Linked DNA regions of Arabidopsis thaliana. The protein of the gene in region 2 interacts with the protein of the main gene of each other region in a pairwise test. Each region holds a gene or a part of one and is shown on either strand. Other genes may lie near its edges.

Region 1 (10,304 bases), on a different chromosome or scaffold from region 2:
CAAATCAAGGAATAGAGACTCTTCAAATCCTCATCATCTTCCTTCTCCACAGAGTCCGGTTTACGATAGCCATTCTTTGTTCCTCCGTTGACAATTTCGCCGACATCATCGCCACCGACAACGTCGGCAAAGGTTTTATTCTCCGTCTCGTCGTGATCTTGCGCCATTCTTGGAAATTAGAAACTAACCCAACAGTTGTTTCGATCGGATTTAGGAAGTAATAAGAGTAAGGAACAAAAGTTGAGATTTTTTATTAGTAATAGATAATGATTGCGGACAAAACAGCTGTTTAGTTTTATGTTAAAGGAGAAATCAGGGACATGTGTAGCACCGACGTGGCTTTAAACCCCCGTTAACCGGAGGAGTAGATAGATAGATACAACGAGCGTGTGTATTCAACGCGTTACACATGCGAGTGGTTAATTCTTTTTTCTTCTTCTTTTCATTATGGTTTTATTATTGGGCTTGTTAGACGTTTTTTGAAGGCCCGTTTAAGACCAAACTGTTTTTTTTTTTAATGCACAAACTGTTGCCAATAGAAAATTACAACAAAAGGCGAATCAGATTAGATCAGATATCATCTCTGTACATAAATGCTTACAAGATAAAGCAAAACAAATGTTACATATTGTTTCAAGATAGACAAAACACAGGGTTTTCAGTGCTGTGCATCAACAATGGTGTCTTTAGCAGAGGTTGTTTCAGGGAGTGATGTGGGTTTTGCTTCCACAGAAGAAGAGACTAGGAGATTCCTGAGCTCTGTGGTGATTGCAGTCTCTTGATGCAGAGATGATGAAGGAGAAGGAGATGCAGTATTGTTGTTGTAAGTGAAGACTCGCATCGGGTGATCAAATTTACAGCTTGGACCAAACTTGCAGATCCCATACCGAGAATAGAACACGCACAGTGGTTCTCCCTGTTTCAAACCAGCAACAAGAATTTACCAAACCACATAATGAGACTATAAAGGAAAGAATCTGAAGTCTTTTATTAGCTTACCGGGCGTAAAGGAAGGCCAACCGAGCTTAAGACACAATCAGGAGGAGGGGTTTGCCTGTCTCTAGGATGATGAAATTTGCAGACTGTTCCAAATTTGCAATCTCCTGTCTTCATGTAGAATTGGCATTCAGGTTGGCCTGGTCTTTCCGGGAATACATTCTCTCTAGGTAATGCATAGAACCCGAGCGGAACAGAATTTCCCGAATGAAACCCGGATGAGAAGAGACCTCCTTGAGATCCTGAAGCGAAACCAGAAGGATCTTGCAAACGAGGAGGGTTTGCAACAAAAGATGTTCTCGACCAAGAATAAGACGGTTGACCAGTTAGAGATTGAAGAGCAGAGTAAACCGGAGAGCCACGAACAGAAACCATCAAGTTGGTTGATTGAGTCTGAGGGTGATTGAATTTACAAGTTCCCCCAAATTTACATTGTCCAATTCTCAAAAAGTAAGAGCAATCATCTTCGTTCTGCAAACAGAACTCATGAGAGAGGCAAAATTTTACAAAGCAGTGGTGAGATTAGAAAGTTGAAATGTATACATACCGGACGTAGAGGATAGCTTAAGACATTAACTGATACACTTCCATCAATACCAGCTTTGTTCCTAGGATGATGAAACTTGCAAGTCACTCCGAATTTGCAGGTCCCTGTCTTCAGATAAAACTGCACAGACACAACAACAAAAATAGAAGCTTTGAGACAATGTGATAACTAGAAGACATTACTATGATAGTAATTCGAAACAGAGCTACCTCACATTCAGGCTGACCAATTCTTTCAGGGTATTCTCCTTTAATCCTTGCAGTTGCTATAACCTAGAAATTGGATACGAGACTATTCATCAGCTTGTAATCACACACACACACAGACCCTCAAAGCTACAAACTTTGAGTCAACAAGATACAGAGGAAAGAACAAACACAGAAACAGAGTCAGTACCAGTTTCCGGTCGTGAGGATGATTGAATCGGCAAGTTGAACCAAACCTACAAAGTCCAGTCCTTATATAATAAGCACAATCTGGCTCTCCGTGACGTTCCGGATAAGACCCATCAACACCCATTGTATCATCTGATCCCAAGTTCATTTGCCACATTGCATCTAAAATTCACAAACCCAACCAAAACCCCACAACAAAAATTCAAGCTGAGGTTTTTAAGATTGAATCAGAACATCAGAGAGGGAATAAAGGATGGTACTTTGGTTAAGCAATGGGGAAAGAAAAGTGCTTTCCCGAGAAATGGAATCAAAATCCATGGAGATGATGAAGAACAATGGCTGTGTCGGTGATTATTAAGCATTAAGAACACACCATAATTCTCTCACTCTAAGAGATTTTCCGATGGGAAGTCCCATCGTTTCTCTTGCTCCCAGGAATCGTCTTCCTCCGATTGTGGAGGGGTTAGAGGAAATGGCAATGCAGGAAGACATTAGAGAATTAGAGATCACGTCTAGAGAGAGAAAGCAGAGAGAGATTGGGAAGAAAGTGTTGCGTTCTCTTCTCTCCTCCACACAAAAGAAAGAAAAAAAACTAAAGAGATTCGGTAAGAAAAACGAATTCGAAAAGACTAAATTACCCCTTTTATCTTCATATTGATTCGGTTGAGGAGAAAGAATAATTTATTTCATAAATCCTGATTTGGTTAGTATGTATGATCATGAATCAAATAATAACAAGATTTTATTTGATCTCTAACCTGAATTTCGTTTCATTTATTCTTTTTTTTTTTTTGTTAACAAAAAAAGGGCTTATAATATTTAGTGTACGTATTAAAACAATTTTAGATCCGAACATGATGTATTTTCATTTATAGAGTTTTTATCTTTTCTTGATACGTATATGTGAACAAAATACTAAATTATGCATACTACGAAAATAAAGAGAGCTTAAGAAAGTATAAAATTAAGCATAAACTAGGTTAATTCATTCAGTTAATGGTTTTCATATCTCGAATATACTTCAAAATCTCCTTTAGGAGGAAAGTGTAAAAGAGATAACAAAAAAAAAAACTTGTGAAAGATGAACAAAGGGTAATATTGATGATATAATCGAATTTATTAGTTTAATCAATGAATAAACTCCAGAGCTGCGTAGTAGGCGACGAGCACAGGTAGAGAGACCAACATCCCAAATATCACCCTACATTTATCAAAATTTTAATTTAATTTCATATTACCATTTTCTTCTTAAATAGACTGAATTTTTAAAATTTGGACTTACGCTGTGCTTAGAACATCTGCATGTAATCCATATTCCTTAGCAAAAATGAACGAAGTAATCGATTGTGGCAAAGCAGCCTGTAAATTTCATATAAATATTAATGATATATTAAACTGAAAAATATAAAGTTAGTATCTTAGTGGATGAATGAATGGAAAATGATCTACTTTTTTTTTTATATACAAACTTCAGTAGAATTAGGGTACAAAAGGATAAAGTAGAATTTATGACCTGAATGATGGCTACGCGGAGGACATCACCGTGGAGGCCAAGGACAATAGAGCCGATGGCCATGGCCGCCGGTCCGGCAATAAACTTCAATACCATTCCCATCACAGTCAAGCTTGTTCCACATACTATCAACTTTTCTTGAAGTGCCATGAATATTCCTGCGTATATATGCATGTATTCACTGTTATCTCAATACTGATACGTAATCTTTACGTATAGAAAGATACTTGCATGGACATAAATAAACGTACCCATATTGAACATGGCCGTTCCTGTTCCTGCTTTTGACATTATAAGAATCGAACCCTCTAATATGCCCGGCAGCTCCAGATGCCATCTATATTTCCAATTAATTTCCATCAATTATTAGACTTAAGTCTTTATTTGTTAGCCAAGAGTATACAAAACACTAATCAAAACCCTAAACCCAAAATTCACACTAAAACAAATAAAATAGAAATTTGGTCAAAGACTCTAATATTCAGATTAAAATCATGATTAGTTTATTTGCATGTACATGTCACGTTTGCAAATTATGTTACCATGTTAAAAATGTCCTAGTCATTTGTCACATGGAAATATAAACGCAAATGCAAAGAAACAATCGTGACCTATATTTCTGTCAAAATTTTAACTATAGATCATCAGGCGCTACACAGAAAAGTAATAATTTAGATGGTTTAAACGTCAAACTATAGATATTTTTAGGCAATTTTAACGGTTGCCTCGGAGTAAGGGGTGGAATTAATGTAGTCTCCTGAGTCCCTGATCACACATACTAATTAACACTTTGTTAAACATCTTATAGGTACCAATATAAAGTTTAATTAAAGATTCATTTTTACCTGTTAGAAATAAAAGCCCATGCGATCCCAAGGATGCAAGAATAGCAATTTGGATTCGTTGCAAGCTTCAACCAAACGAGGGACATGACCTCAAGGAACGACTTCTCTCCCACAACCACAGTTTCTCTTTTTCCACTTTCGATATTGATGTTGTCTACTTGTACGTCGCTGATATTATTACTACTAAATCCGGCTTTTCTAAACTCTAAGACAAACAACAAGAGTGTGAGCCACACGATGGCTTGAAATACCGAGGATTGAACCACCAGATCAACAGCCTGTTGTCCGTACATTGCCTTAGCCAATGGCACACCAACGACAAGAGAGTTAGTAAGAGTGCATAGAGAGAAACTAGTAATGGACCAACAATAGCTTCCTTTGTTGCTATATTTGGCCCACAACGCTAAGACCGTGACTATGATGACCTTAGAGAGGACATCGGCCGCGATGAACCGGTAATTCATGTTGAACGGGTCGACATGGGCCGTGAACTCAATGGTGAAGAGCGGCAGGGTGAAATAGCAAACGAGACGGTTTATAGCATCACATTGATCACGCGTGAAGATGTGCCACCATTTCACAGAGCCATAGCCTAAGATTAAGGCTACATAGAGTGGAACCATTGCTTCGATTACCTTGTAAACATCTCCACAATTTATCATGGTTTTATCAGAAAAATAGAAATGTTGCAGTAGTAGCAAACGAAAGGAAAGAAAACAAAGCTTCTAAATTCGTTCGTAGATAGTAAATGTGTTACGATAGAGAAACCAACATGTTCATATTTATAGATAAATTTTTAATTGTTTTATTTGTTGTAGAAAAAAGATAGGTAATGAGATATCCATGAGTAATATTCAAACAAAAGTAAAGTTTAGATATAAATTAAACAATAATATTTTTTTCTTCGGAATATGATTACGAATATTTATAAATAATTTGGCTAAATTCCTATAGAATAGATACAATTGAAATTTGAGTCTAAATATTTAGATAAAAAAATTAAAATCAACCTCATATTTTTAGCCATTAGTTTAATTGAGAAACAAGAGAGTTATCGTTATCAATATAATTGACCAGACCGTGCCGTGGCATATGATTCTATTCCAATTGTTTCCTGTAAATAGTGAGTGTAGTGTTTGTGTATGACGTAAACATTTCTTTCAATATTTGACTATATTAATTAATGGTAATGTCGCAGAATAAAGAATGAGGTTGCAGCTTTAGCACCATAACTAGAAGATCGTCTCGACCAATATATGTTTTTGGCTGTCGTAACTCGTCGCCACAACACATGAGACTAACCAAATAATATATTTTCAATAATTTATTCGAAATATTTGCTTAATCGTTTTTTTCTTAATCTTAATATTTATATTTATTAACCACTTTCATAAAATGGGAGCAGAACTATGCTAGTGCATGTAATATAAGTAAAGTGCATGGAATAGTTTGTATATATGCCGAAATGGGTATTTGTGCCCTACGACCTGGCGATAGCAACCAATTTCATAACCGACAAAGAGAGATTTCTTATAAGAAAATGAATTTCACTTACTTATACCTAGTGATGATTTGAATGTTTCAATATATTCATGGTTTAAGAAATAACATGTCATGGGTTTTAGAATATGTTAATATATAGATAGATAGAGAAGTCTACAAATAACTTACTTACTTTTATCTTAAACCATGTTTTACGTTGTTTTTTATGTTTCGTTCGATAAAAAATCATATGGCCATGTCTTTCTTCTTTGTTAAAATATCAAAGAACCATATTATACTACGAGCTAGCGAAAAATCTATCATCGTGAGGATTGAGGAAGCCATTCAAGAACTACAAAAGTTTACAGAAAAATTTGTACCTCGTGCTCTTGTCCTTTCTTGCTAGACAACAAATTTATTATTTGCCTTCTGGACTCTAATATAATCACAACAACACATATTGCTAGGTGCAATATCATCATATTAGCACTTTTTAATTCTATGGTATATTTTTGTTTTGTAACCATATATATTGTCCATTCACAAAGTCTTTTCTATTACACATATTCATGATGAGAAAATTGATTTGATCTAATTACTAGAGAATCATGCAGAGGCATAAAATGATCTGGAAAGCATTTATTTATCATTTGATTTGATAATAACATTTTATGGAAACACCTATCTTTACCAAAGATTTGGAACAAATAGAAAAACATAAGCAAACAAATATATATAGTCGGACTAAAACAAAAACAAAAAGGGGGATTTGACTGATGGAACAAAAGTTAAAATCGGTGGATTAGAAATCTGTGAAAACGTGGAGGATGCTTATTCACTGGTGAAATTGAGGGATCATATATAAATATGAATAATAATGCTAGTAGAATAAGTTCTATTTATCACTTGATGATTACAAATCTATAATATGCTTTCAAATTTCTCTCCTGATGTGTTGATATATATTACAGTCTTTTTAATATCAAAAAGGTTTTTGTCTTCTCTCATTCATTCATTCATCGTTAATACTTTTGTTTTTGTGTGACATATTTTCATTATTCTTCTTGAATTATGTCAGAAATAGCTAGCTAGCACGATTGGAAAGTTTATTCAAAATCCATCTTATTTGTTTTGTACTTTTGACGTCATGAATATTATGTTGATGTTTTTTCCCAAACCACAAAAACAAAACAATCAAAGTTTTTCAGACCAGAAAACACTATATGTTGGGGTTTATACTGTTCTTCCTAAATTAGAGTTCGAATTCAAGAGTAGTGATCATATAACTTTCGTTTTCCTTTCAATCTTTCATAAACGAATCCAAGTACCAAGTTAAATGCATGGTTACGTATTATATACTATATATAAATGTAATCATGTTAATGTTACAAATCAAATCAGAAGAAACAAAGTTATACATAAAGGAGAGGATGTTTTGATTTTGGTCGAAAAGAAGTTCAACGTCAATCATTGAAAGAATGAAGTAAATAGCAGCCAATAGAAAGGGAAACCAAACTACAAACATATCAATATTACATAATTTTTTAAATATAATTAATTATCCATATCCACACACTAATCTTTCATTCAAATTCCATATTAAAAAAAAACACAGAAGAATTATTCTTAAAGGCAAATTTGTTCTTTAGACTTATGAAAAGAGGAAACTCCTCCAAGTGCAGGTGGAATAAATCCTCTGTTTGAAACGACTTCACTACTGTATTATTTCTTAATTTATTTTGTGGCTCACAATAATCTGTTCCTTCATTGCTTCGTCACTCAATATATGCTACAGCACCTACTTGTTGTACTCTTCTGCTTCACATCTCGTGTTTTTATTCTGGAAACATTCGTTTTTCCAGAGAAGAGAAGACGCAAGAACAAGTTTTCAACCATGGAGAATGGAGAATGATTTACTTTTAGCATAAAGTCCTCAAACGTATTAGCCGCATCAACAACACTCTTTGATGTGAACACAAGTCTTAAGTTACATGCAAAGTGTTACTTATTCATTAATTCTAGTATAGTTCTTATACTTTAGAACTTGAAGGGTACACCATAATAATAGCTAAAGAGATCAAGATCGGTGATTATAGTTATCAAATTTCCAAGAATATGTGAACACTTCATAGATTATGTAATGAACTAATGATTACAAAAAAAAAAAAAGTACAAAGGCAAAGCTAGAAACGACTTTTGAATCAGGAAAATCTCTCTGCAGGTTTGTTTGGTCCGGCGGGAAAATTTGATATATAAACCGAACCGGATAACATGAACCACCCGGTTTTTAAATTTTGCTGGTTCTTGACCACGACGAAGTCACTTGCTTAACAGGCTGGTTCTGCTTCGTGGTCTGGTTCTTTAAAGCTGGTCCAAATAATAATAAAATAATTAAAAGATGAAATTCCTTTCTTGCCCCTTTTGTTCTTCTCCTTTCTCCGTCTCTCTCTCTCTCTCTCTCTCTCTCTCTCTCTCTCTCTCTCTCTCTCTCTCTTCGACTTCTTCGTCTTCGTTTCTTCATTTCGAAGCTCTCTCTGTGTGTGATGGCGTGCCCTAGAAACTCCATAACATACAACGCCACGCGCTGCGCGTGCGGTATCGGTCAGCTACTAAACCGGAGCTCCGGGAGCTGCGAGATCTTCGGTTGGCCGTCAACAATCTCCACAGACAAAGATGTAAACTACAGCGTAATATCATTCGCCGAGACTTTATTCGCTTTCGATAGGATCCGTAAGTTCACGCAATCTCAAGCTATTTTCTTAGAAGCTACGCTCGTGATGCTTCTCTCCTGGTTAGTCTTTTGTTTCTTCCTGAGATTCACCAAACTCGGCGATGGTCGTAATGTCTGGTTTAATCTCCGTTGGTGGATTACTCGACTTGACGTCTTCTTCTCCACTAGACATTGGCTCGTTAGTGCTTTCTCTACTCTCATTGCTTTTGTCTCCATGAATTGGTTTCTTTTGAGTAAACCAATTAGGTTCCTGAATCTTGTAGGATGATCAACAAATTGTCAAGAAACGTAAAACAGAACTTGGTGGAACATTTTCTGTTGCGAGCTGGATTGTTTTCATTGGTTTATTCGCTGCGTGAGTTTGATAACTTCAGAATTTAGTGCTTCCTTTGGTTTTTGTTAACTTAGTCAGTTTCTTCACAGGCTGCTTTATCAAATCATAACCAAGAGAACAATTGAAGTTCACAATGTGAGAGCTACTGGTTCTCCAGATTTGATCTCATTCGAGAACGATTTGGAGTTTAACATCACCGCTGTTTCGGATATGAGTTGCTCTAATTTACGCGGTATTGGGAACGTGGTCATGGGTAATCCCGGGTTTAGCGAGTTCAAAGTTGCTGCTCTTTCTAGTTTAGGAAGCTATACTTGTAAGAATACAACTTCAGGACCAACAGTGAATTTCAAATGTACCAAATGTCGTCTCACCAACGATTACATATATATCTCGTGGCATTTCGTTGATCTTCCTGATTCGCCTGCTGCTGCTGTTGGATTTCAGTTTAACTTTACGTCTAAGAATGGACCTAACGAGAAGCATATGAGTTTTGTTAGTGGCACTCTGAGAAACGGAAGCATTCTCGATGAAAGTCCGGTTACTTTCCGTGGAACCGAAGGGAATATATTGAAGTTTAATCTGTTTCCTCGGATTTACCATCATTTGCATGATCTAAAGCTAATCCAACCTCTCTTTCACGAGTTTATCCCTGGCTCTGTTTACCGAGACACTACTCAGCTTCAGGCATCTATGGGAAGGTCAACAGATGGCATACTCAATACGACATTGTTCATCAACTATCTCTCTGCTTATATTGTTGAGATAGACCATGAAAATATACTCGGTCCTGGTAAGTAAATTTACTTTGTCCAATCACTTCTTGTGAATCATTCCAGTATGTGCAAGTAGAGAATACTAGAGTAGCTTCAGTTCTAACTTAAGTTTCTTTTTCCTTTTCTGGTTGCTGTTTAACAGTTAGCTTCCTTGCCGATCTTGGTGGTTTGTATTGCATCAGTATTGGCATATTTTTCTACCTACTAGTGCAGGTTTGAAACCTTTTCATCTCCTTTACTTAATGTTTATTGGTATTCATGATCTATGAATATAAGAAAGAGCATTAAGCATTATTAGCGGGTGTGTACTATAGTGTTTGAAAGTTTTCTAGTCCTTCCTAAGCATATCCTGATGGCGGTAAATTGGCTCTTTGAATAGTGTGAGTACAGGATCAAGAAGCTGCGAAATGAAGATACTGTTTTCAGGAAGATAAGGAATCGTCGTAAAGCTCTAGATCACTGGGATAAAGTAATTGTTTTCCCCTTTCTCTTTTTTGGTTTTTCTTCTTGCAATGGCTTCTTTTCTTATTACAAGTTGCTCTTTCAATAATCCTCATTTAGCTGAGAAGATATGTTGCATACACATGGGATTGCAGCATATTGGTCGATGATGCCATCAAAACGACAAAGGTATCAGGAATGTGTGGTTTAACGAGACCTCCAACATCTTCTAATAGCTCGGAACACG
Region 2 (10,304 bases):
GATTCAAATTAGTATGGAGTTAGGATCTTGAGAATACTATTCAAAGAGAAGAACAAACATACCAATTGTGGATCTTCGATACGGGTCAAAGAAGAGTCATGGATGATTGAAATGATTGGAACCATGAATGCATATGAGCCTCCAATGACAGTTGGAAGACGAGTTCCAAATAATGTTTGAAGAAGAGTGTTAACACCTTGAAGGAACAGTAGTGTCTGAACAACTCTCACTTTATCACCCTACTCAATTGTTTTTGGGAGGAACATTAATCTCAGTCAGACAAGCAAAATTCACAACAGAGATTCGTTGGATTAAGAAACAGTGAAGAATGTAAGAAATAATGCTCACATCATCTCCACCCATCATAGGAACAAGAATTGAAGGTATCATCACTGCAGTTCCTAAAGCCAGAATGTAATGCTCGAAACCTAAAGCTATAGCTTCTCCTGCAATAAGATCATCATCAGGATTCCGGAAAGTGAAAAGTCAACCAATAAAGTACAGAGAATGGTTTCAAGGCTAAGTACCCCATGGAGGGTTTGAGTCAATACAGTACTCTAAACCCTGAAGCTGATCCATTGGTGGGTGACTTATCTCCTCTGGCTTTACAAGATCCATGATTCTAAAGTCTTCCTTTTTCTTTCTGGGTTAACACTCAACAACAAATCTTCTTCTTATGAGCTCATGAATCTGCTAAAGAATCAGGAAAACTAAAAGAATCTGATTGAATCAGAGGAATGACTGAGAAAACAAGAACAGAGTGGTTTTAAATAAGATAGAAAAGTTGTGTGAAAGAGAAATGAGGACAAGGCAAAGCGAAAAAGCTTCTCTTTTTCGAAGTTGCAGCTGAGTTAGAAGAAAGCTTTTTGGTAGTGGTGGAGATGGTGATGGCTAAGGAATTTTTATTGATTTATATATGAATGGGATAGTGAAAGGTTAGGAAAAAGGACCGTTAGAAGTTTTAGTTAGGTACCAGAAATGCCCCTTAAAGAACTGCCAAAAAACCGAATACTACCGTTACACTGTTTTGTTGGTAAATAATGCTTTTCTCAACTTTACACATCAGAGAGTCACAGATTCTTTAATGCATTAGTTACGTTTTCTGCAGTGCATGTCTTCTCTTCTTTCAAGCTTCTTGAATTTAGTTAGTCTTTAATTAAAGGGCACAGAAAAATAGAGGAAGGAATCGTATAGCAGCCAAGTCTTTGATTTGTATTTAGTGTTCCCAATTCTTATTCTTTTCAGTTTTCACGTCCATTATCCATTTTTATAATTGCAAAGGTGTTTTCTACCTAGTACATTCTCATACATTGGTTATACAAAAGTCAAGAAAAAAAAGTTAGTATAATATACTTGATGATCGATTATGAAGACTAGACCATAATGAAAGCAAACCTAAGTAAAAAGGTAAAAGAAAACGTTATGATTGTGTGAAAATGACGTGTTTTTGTAAAAGAAAAATGAATCAATAGCTTAACATCTCTTTTGCTTTACTTTCTTCATTTTTCACTTTGAACTTTTTATTTTATTAAAAAAATTATCTTGGGTTGAATAATAATGACATTGGCGCAAAAAAATAAAAGTAATAAATAACATGGAGCCAAGACATGGGTCCAAAACAGTGCAGATGTAAAAAGAGTAGCTAACTGGGACACCCACGTGCGACCCAAGATGGACCAAAATGGGGTCACATATTTGGATTTAAGACATAAACAATACAAAAAAAATTCACAATGCTTTTGTTAACAGACATACCTCTCTGGTCTCTTTCACCTGTTGACTGCTACAAGAACCAAAAACGGTGCCGTGTCATGGCTGTGGTCGATTGAGTAAAAAGGTTTTGATTTGCTCATGTCCTGCCTCTTTCATCTGTGATTCAAAATAACACATGCTTGTTATAAGATCCCACATTGGATGTAAAATGTCTAAATATCACAAAGTGACTAAACTATTACTAAATAACTCTCACATTCTAAAGGGGAAGGAATAGTAAATGGCTTCTAAGTTCACAAGCTGACTTTTAAAGGATTATATATGGATTAGAGAAATACTCGGCTATCTGTTCAGATATCTCCTAAAACAAATAGTGGATGCTATTATTAATTGGCACGGACTAGCAGCAGCTTTGAGATTGTCAACTGAACGACTAAATTGAGACTTACGCAGAAGCAATGACATCTGATTGAATAGCTGCATTAGACCATAACGAAGATAGAAAATCTTGAGTACTAGCTGGGAGATGATTTCTTCATGTACCTGAAGGCAAACACCACAAAAAGAAACAACTTAATTATGCAAAAATCCATCTCATAATCTCATTGTACACACTCAAAACTTAAACTGTGATAACCAACCTTATCCTACTTCGATTTCTTGTTTGCTATTGCATAGCAAGCCACAGTATATATTGGTATAGAGGAAAATCCCACCATTGATTAAACCTAGATATCCTGTAAAAATTGTCACATTCCCAAAATCTATCAAATTTTTCAAAAAAGGGTACATTCTTTTATCTAGGAAGTAACTAGTGCACACCTGGAATGGGCTTTGAATGGTGATAACAGTCCCAAGTTGAGCAACCAGCATAGAAAAAGTGGAGCTTGATGGTTTGTCCTGCATTCTTGCTCCCTCCTTTCCTTGTCATTCTCTGCAATTTATACACCAACAAAGATGAATTCCTCAACAACATGCAGAGCGATGTGCAGAAGCCACTTAGATTATACTCAAGAGGGTCTAAATACATGTTTACTGAATCAAGACCGAATCTGATCGAATTATCTTGGAACCTCACTTCATGCAACAAGAAATCTAGACTTCTATATAATAACTTCACATTTCACATCTGTCAATCTTTTTCAAACTAAAGGACCTTATCAATTTTCCCCTCTTCAATCACATGATCCTAGAAAAAACAGAAAATCCAAAGAACCACAACAATAGAGAAAATTGCAAAGACAAAGCAGTGAGGGAAAATGAAGGAACTAACAGTAAAACCCCTAGCTGGATAACTTAAGACAATTTCAATAGAATCCAATCTAGATCATAATGACCTCAAAACCCGAAAACAGCAATCTATAATCATTCTAGATTAGCGATTTTGAAACACGGAAAGCAAAAGAGGACTAACTTTGAGCTCCTCCCAGAAACTTCTCTCTCTCAGTACATTCCCCAGATGCCGAATCGCCGAACAGGTCTCGCTTATTCTCCGTCGCACTCGAAACTTCACCACCGGCGGTCCCAAAATTCGAAACCAGAAAGTGTCTCTCTGTCTTCGCCTCCATCTCTTTCGTCCAGTGCTAATTTAAATTTTCGACGATTTGATTAAAAATGTTTGTGAGCCCAAGCCCATTAGACTTGTGATTAGTCTTTTTGGCATTTTGTTTACAACATGTGGTGCATGCATGCATGCATGGTGAATGATTAATATGAACATGGTGCGTTATTAACTCAACAATAAGGAATCAAACTGTAATATTTTCTTGTTAGATATGCAATTTAGTGATAATTTATCCATGGTAAGTTAGGTGACCGGGTCAAAACCATTATTGGATCAACATCTTCCATCTTTTTTTTCTGATATCAGCTATCATCACACATTGTAAGAAATAATTCAACAACCCTTTTCTTTTTGTATAATGATGAGTTAGACAATGGCTTTTTATGCATATGTAAATGTAAACTCATCTGGTACTCAATTGTCAATTCATAATCATAGGTCATGTTCAATGTATTGAAATCTCTAATCAGACTCGGATACAGATCATTGTGTTTGTGTGCAGTGACTCTAACAACTTATTGACCTTTTCTCTTAAGGATGTCATTTTTGACCAACAATATAGGAACTTAACTCAATTCATCATTGTTAGGAAAGAGTTCTAATTACTCTTCACTCGTCACTTGTCTCTTCGTATCTATCTCTTCTTGGTTGTCTCTTAGAATTCATGAACTGTGTTGTGTGTATAAGTTAATCTTGTTTCTCATGAATGATAAGTATCTTTCTCCATAATCATTACACTACATATTCTGAATAGTTTCTTACATATTAATTTACTACCAAATTTTGTGTTTTTTATTTGCAACTATTACAAATTTTGAATCTTTCCTTTTAGATAATATTTTATTTATTAACGTAATACACCTTATCCAAACAAATGTACTATCTTAAAGTGGTCTTCACATCGATCTTTTATTCTTTCTTTTTTTTTGGTAAAATTTTTTTTTTTTTTTTTATATATGCATTAGATCTTTCTTCTTCTTTTTTGACAGCAGATGTTGTATTAGTTTATACATTTCTTAATACAATACTAACACAAATTATACGAAAGAGGATAAACCTCCGTCGTGCTTGCATATTTTAGCATAAGCTTTCCTGGAAATCTTTCTGAGGTAGTTATTTTTTTCTTGAGAGTTTTAAATTCGTAATTATGCATTAAAATGAATAAACTACTATCATCAATTGAGATTTTTTATCTGAAGAACAATTTATGACATGATATATTCTCCTAATTTAGTCTAAGTGTTGGTATATTAGCTGAATCTATTTGAATGCTATTGCTTGTACACAAACAAGCTGAATTTAATTGATTATATCCAATTTCAGAATAAAGTTCCGGATGATAAAGTTGCACTCAAGATTAGTCTCGTAATCCAAATTAAAATACAGAAAACGGATTTTGGAAGTATGAAACTATGAATATAATCTAATTGAAAACTTTTTATCAAAAAAATAAATAAGGAGAAAGTGAAACTTGGAGTCTTAAATTTGAAGCCACTGGTTTTGGTCTGCAACGTGAAGTCCACAATGTACAGTAAGCACCGACTCAGCAAAACACGTGGTGCCCACAAATACCACTCCATACAGTATCTTTTTAAAGACTATAATACTCACGTATCACATAAACCTATACATTTGCTAAATAAAATGTGTGATGACATCTTAACGAACCATGATCTGCTTATCTATCAGCCTCATTGATAAGTCAACCTTATTATCTGTCCTTTAAGAAAGCTTAAATGTATTCCAAAGTTGACATTGCGTATGGATAGAACATATAAGTTTGCCTTTTATAATTTGAAAATCCGTCCAACGTGTTATTCTGTTGGCAAAATATTTGGATTAGGATAAAACTTCAACATCAAATAGCAATATTTTAAAATCAAATGACTTTTCAGCTTCTCGAAACATAAGATAAAGTCAACTCGAAAACTGTTATAAAACGAACACGAAAAAGGCCAAGTTAAGACAACATCACAACCGAAACAACAACCCCACCATATCTTATTTTTGTCCGTTTCTTCATTTCATTTTCTTGTTTTGGTTCGTTTCCCGGTAAAACCGTGTCGGAATCAACAAACAACAGTTACATTTACACTTAGAGAGCAACCAGAACTAAATAAAAGTCTCAGCCTACGGATGGCTCAAGTACTATCTACACCGTTGGCCATCCCCGGCCCAACGCCAATACAATTCATGGCGGGTCTTCTTGCTCGAATCGTTACAAAAAATACGAACAAAGAGACCAGTACTCCAGAGAGCCCGAGGAGTCCGCGGACTCCACAAGGCTCTATTCTCATGGACAAGTACGAAATAGGAAAGCTTCTTGGCCACGGAAGCTTCGCTAAGGTCTATTTAGCACGGAACATTCATTCTGGCGAGGATGTTGCCATCAAAGTCATTGACAAGGAGAAGATAGTGAAGAGTGGATTGGCCGGTCATATTAAACGGGAGATTTCAATCCTCCGCCGTGTCCGCCACCCTTACATTGTACACCTACTCGAGGTTATGGCTACGAAGACAAAGATTTACATTGTGATGGAGTACGTTCGAGGCGGAGAGCTTTATAATACGGTGGCTAGAGGACGGCTTCGAGAAGGAACCGCGAGGAGATATTTCCAGCAGTTGATCTCATCCGTTGCTTTCTGCCACAGCCGCGGTGTTTACCACCGCGATCTCAAGCTTGAGAATCTGCTTTTGGACGACAAGGGGAACGTGAAAGTCTCTGACTTTGGGCTCAGCGTTGTCTCGGAGCAGCTCAAGCAAGAAGGAATCTGTCAAACGTTTTGCGGGACACCAGCTTATTTGGCGCCTGAGGTTTTGACAAGGAAAGGTTATGAAGGTGCAAAAGCCGATATTTGGTCTTGTGGAGTGATCTTGTTTGTATTGATGGCTGGTTATCTTCCATTTGATGACAAGAACATATTGGTTATGTATACAAAGATATATAAAGGGCAGTTTAAGTGTCCTAAATGGTTTTCTCCTGAGCTTGCAAGGCTTGTGACCCGGATGCTAGACACGAATCCAGATACCCGAATCACAATACCGGAGATCATGAAGCATAGATGGTTCAAGAAAGGGTTCAAACATGTCAAATTCTATATTGAAAACGATAAGTTATGTAGGGAGGATGATGACAATGATGATGACGATTCATCATCATTGTCATCAGGCCGATCATCGACTGCTTCAGAAGGAGATGCAGAGTTTGATATTAAAAGGGTTGATTCAATGCCGAGACCCGCGAGTCTAAACGCATTTGACATCTTATCGTTCTCAGATCTTTCGGGTTTGTTTGAAGAAGGTGGACAAGGAGCAAGGTTTGTATCTGCTGCTCCTATGACAAAGATCATATCGAAATTGGAAGAGATTGCCAAAGAGGTGAAATTTATGGTGAGGAAGAAGGATTGGAGCGTGAGGCTAGAAGGTTGTAGAGAAGGAGCTAAAGGACCGTTGACAATTAGAGTCGAGATCTTTGAGCTGACGCCATCTCTTGTGGTGGTTGAAGTGAAGAAGAAAGGAGGAAATATAGAAGAGTATGAAGAGTTTTGCAACAAGGAACTTAGACCACAGCTGGAGAAACTGATGCATTACCAAGCAGATGAAGTTGAAGAAGTAATGTGTTTGCCACCTGAAATTGAACAGTGACAAAGTTAAGAAAACAGGAAGGTCGAGAGAAGAAGACATAACAAGAGAAGGTATCATAGAAACGAATATTAACATTCTTTGTTACTATACTTAATTTGTTTTGTGTATATATATGAAAGTGAGAGTTGTAATGAGAGTGATTAGGAAGATCAGAGAAAAAAAGAAATTAAGAGTGAGATCTTAATAAGGCAGTTAGACGGTTTTTGCTGGCGATTAAATGGCTAGTTTTTCGTTTATTGCTAATATGTTGTACATGTATCTCTACAAAGAGACGAGCTTAATGGAATTTTTTTCTCGGCCTTCCCCTATAACACTGTCTTGTTCATCCTAAGCTAACACATATTTATGCTTCATCAGAGAGACTATATGATAAACTGAAATGTGTAAATGTTACCTGTAGACTTTGCTGCCTTGTAGTCCTGGTAACCTTCACCTGAATGGAAACAGTTAGCTTGAAAAAACTTCCAACAGTTAATTGGGTTTGAATTGGGTATAGATAGAAATATGAACATAGCATTTACTGGGAACAATTGTTCTTCTTATTAGTTAAGTAGGCAACACACAGATATGAAAGTATAACTACACATGTAAATCAATCTGAGGGATTACGTGTTAAGTGTTCTAAGGGTCACAAAAGAAACTGCGGTTTTCTTACGTCGATGAAATTGTAATTCAACGTGATGATCCATCCCAAGGGAGCTTCAAACCACTAAGTTTTTGATTGGCAAGATGAATGAGCAACGAGTTCCTGCAAAAGATATAGCGAAGATCAAAGAAGGGTTAGTATTATCGCCTCATTGTGTTTCTTTATCTCCCAGGGAAAACTTTACATGCTTACTTCAGAATAGCGTATATGATCTCTGTGCGTATAAGAAGTCTTGACTATAGTTTCCCACTTGGTAACACTTGTGGAGTTTTCTTCAACATTCTTTTTTTGGGGATGAAACAGGTATCTCGGTGAAGGGATCTTTGAGCTTACTGACGGCAGATTACTGAAAAGCCAAGACTCGGAAGGCTTTTTGGGTGGCGGCGGAGCAAGTGGAGATAGATCACAGCCACTGTTGTTCTTTCCCAACTCATCTGCCTTCATCATCTTGACTCCACTGCTAATACTAAGAGTTTCTACAGCCTTAAGCTCGCGAACGGCTTTCGGTTTCTTTCCCTCCATTTCAGGTTCCTCTGAAATTGTTTCTGGCAATTTCTTGACATTAGAGCTACGATTCTCATTGCTGGTCCTTGGAGAATTCTCTGAGTCAACATATAATGTCTTCTCCATGGCAGAGCTCGTTGAACAGTCTTGTTTTGTACTTTTTGGATAGAGTGATTCGTGAGACTTGCTTATGTTTCTGATATGCTTGTTCAACCTGTTAGCTCTCATAACCTCTGCTTCCTTACGAGTCCCAGGGAAACCCGCAGCGTGAAGAGGAGAACTGTTTCCTACACTGCGATACGGTGACATACAGCCATTTTGTCTGTAAGGAGATGATGGCCTACTTGCAGAACTCTTCGATTCATGTTGTTCAGAACCAAAGTTAAACTTCTTCCCAACACTTGGGTGTACTGGAGACTGAGCTATACTTCCCAACTTTTGCTTATAATCAAGAGCGAGCTGAAAACATTTTTGATTGATCTTCAGTGAGTTTCTGATCAGTCTATATTATACTAAAAAGGTGAAAAGGAAGGAGATGCTTGAGAAGGAACCTTTTTCACAGATTGGAACCGAGATTTGAGCTGAGCGACCTTGCTTGACTTCACTTGATCATGGCTTGGGGTTCTCAGAGAGTAAGGTTTCTCTTTAAGACCATTCACTGAGCTCAGCATACCGAGTGAGTTTTTAAAGCAGATTTGTGGAGACATCATACCACAGCCTCTCTTAGAAAGATACTCAGAAACTTCATCGTCATCTGAATCCTCCTCGCTTTCTTCGTCATCTATGTCCTGATAATAAGATGGAGTAAAACTAGACTCATACCTTGTAGGAGTTGCACGATTCTCTGCTGGTACTATATCTCTAATCTGTCTCATTGGTTCTGACATGAGGGGCAATGGCTGTCGCTTCCAAGAATATTGAGGTGGTTGCTCCAGAGTCAAGGATTTCGCAGCAGGTAAGAAACGATCCAACATGAATTGAGGATCCTCAGATGGCATTGACGGTTTCATTGCCTCAACACCACCACCACCACTTATGCTTTGCTTTAGAGACAATGTATCAAGGGCATCAGAGAAAACATCATCATCTTCACTCTCTTCTGCTTCTTCTTCTACATGTTTACTCTCCAAGGGAGAATCCGGAACCTGATCTAAACCCATGTCTTGGACAAGAACTGAAACAGAAAGAGATTCACTTGTCTTGGACTCATCAGTGAGCTGCTTTGGCATGTTTCTGCGTACAGAGATTGCAGATTTTTTCATCCTCCTTGTTGAAAGAAGAGGTGCATCGAAGTTAAGTTGTTTCTCCGCCATAGAACCAACCAAAGCCGTTAGAGAAGATCAGAGATGGACTGACACCAACTTATTTTTCTCTGCCAAACTTAATGATGTTACACAGTTCTCCAAAACAGATCTGGAAAACCAAAACATAAATAAATAAGTCGGAGCTACCTAGATTCCATAGTAGTTGACTAATTTAAGTAATTAATTATACATACTGACACACATGAACCCAACGACAAATCTGAAGAAGATGGAAAACGTACAAAAACGTTAAGAACTTTACAAGAAACTTTCATTTAATTCAAATATATAGTTGCGCCGCTAAACTTTCAAACCCGTGATTCAAATCATTGGAAAAGGATTTATGGGGAGTAATGGAAAGAGATCATTGAAGCAATGTAGAAACTAAGTGGAGCATTGCATGATTGAATTGTGAAATCTACTAACCGGAGAGATGTGGAGGGAGGAGCTTCGGAGTTGTGTAAGTTCGTTATCTGCACCGAGAGAGAGTGTGATGAGTCTGAGTGAGAGGGCCTAGAGAAAAGGACGAGACTTGAGTCTTGAGGAAGAGTAAGAACAAAGGCATGTGAAAGAGAGAGAAACAAAAGATTGAGTAAGCTTTTGGTTTTGTGTATATTTCTGTGCCGTGAAGATGACGGAGACGAAAATGGAATTTCAAGAAGGAAAAAAATAAAGAAAAGCGACAAGTCACGAGTGGCTTGTGTTAGTGTCTTCCTCACCCAAATTGAGTCACAAATTGTAAACTTTAAATTTCTATCTATTTATGTCGTCTCAACCAATTCTAGAGATATATACTGTGACAAATATCACTTTTATTATGCTCATTAGGCTTAAGACATATATTTTCATATCACTGTAGATTTTATCATCGTTTTCTAGTCCAAATTTTGAGAAATTGTGGTAGAATGATGCTAAGAAAATTTATGGC

What was found.
Region 1: the proteins of CIPK13 (region 2) and PIN5 interact in a protein complementation assay, tested with the Arabidopsis thaliana proteins (one large-scale study listed by BioGRID).

Annotation. Positions count from the first base shown.
Region 1 is NC_003076.8:5,395,389-5,405,692, reverse strand, and holds PIN5 (Auxin efflux carrier family protein), read right to left. Parts: upstream 5,054-10,304; 5' UTR 4,959-5,053; coding exon 4,297-4,958; intron 3,789-4,296; coding exon 3,703-3,788; intron 3,610-3,702; coding exon 3,452-3,609; intron 3,298-3,451; coding exon 3,221-3,297; coding exon of another isoform or gene 3,217-3,220; exon of another isoform or gene 3,140-3,216; coding exon 3,067-3,139; 3' UTR 2,848-3,066; downstream 1-2,847. Other genes in the region: AT5G16550 (voltage-dependent L-type calcium channel subunit), read right to left, coding at 1-167; ZFN3 (zinc finger nuclease 3), read right to left, coding at 659-916, 1,000-1,467, 1,544-1,663, 1,753-1,815, 1,940-2,100, 2,199-2,256; AT5G16520 (uncharacterized protein), read left to right, coding at 8,322-8,687, 8,773-8,864, 8,933-9,633, 9,759-9,829, 9,996-10,085, 10,178-10,304. UniProt on the Arabidopsis thaliana protein: Auxin transporter regulating intracellular auxin homeostasis and metabolism. Mediates the auxin transport from the cytosol into the lumen of the endoplasmic reticulum. May also act as an auxin efflux carrier when located to the cell membrane.
Region 2 is NC_003071.7:14,427,379-14,437,682, reverse strand, and holds CIPK13 (CBL-interacting protein kinase 13), read left to right. Parts: upstream 1-5,200; 5' UTR 5,201-5,413; coding exon 5,414-6,922; downstream 6,923-10,304. Other genes in the region: AT2G34190 (Xanthine/uracil permease family protein), read right to left, coding at 63-239, 349-446, 528-618; AT2G34186 (uncharacterized protein), read left to right, coding at 1,734-1,829; AT2G34185 (uncharacterized protein), read right to left, coding at 2,356-2,450, 2,536-2,647, 2,750-2,790, 3,128-3,281; AT2G34170 (hypothetical protein (DUF688)), read right to left, coding at 7,632-7,670, 7,761-8,531, 8,624-9,385. UniProt on the Arabidopsis thaliana protein: CIPK serine-threonine protein kinases interact with CBL proteins. Binding of a CBL protein to the regulatory NAF domain of CIPK protein lead to the activation of the kinase in a calcium-dependent manner.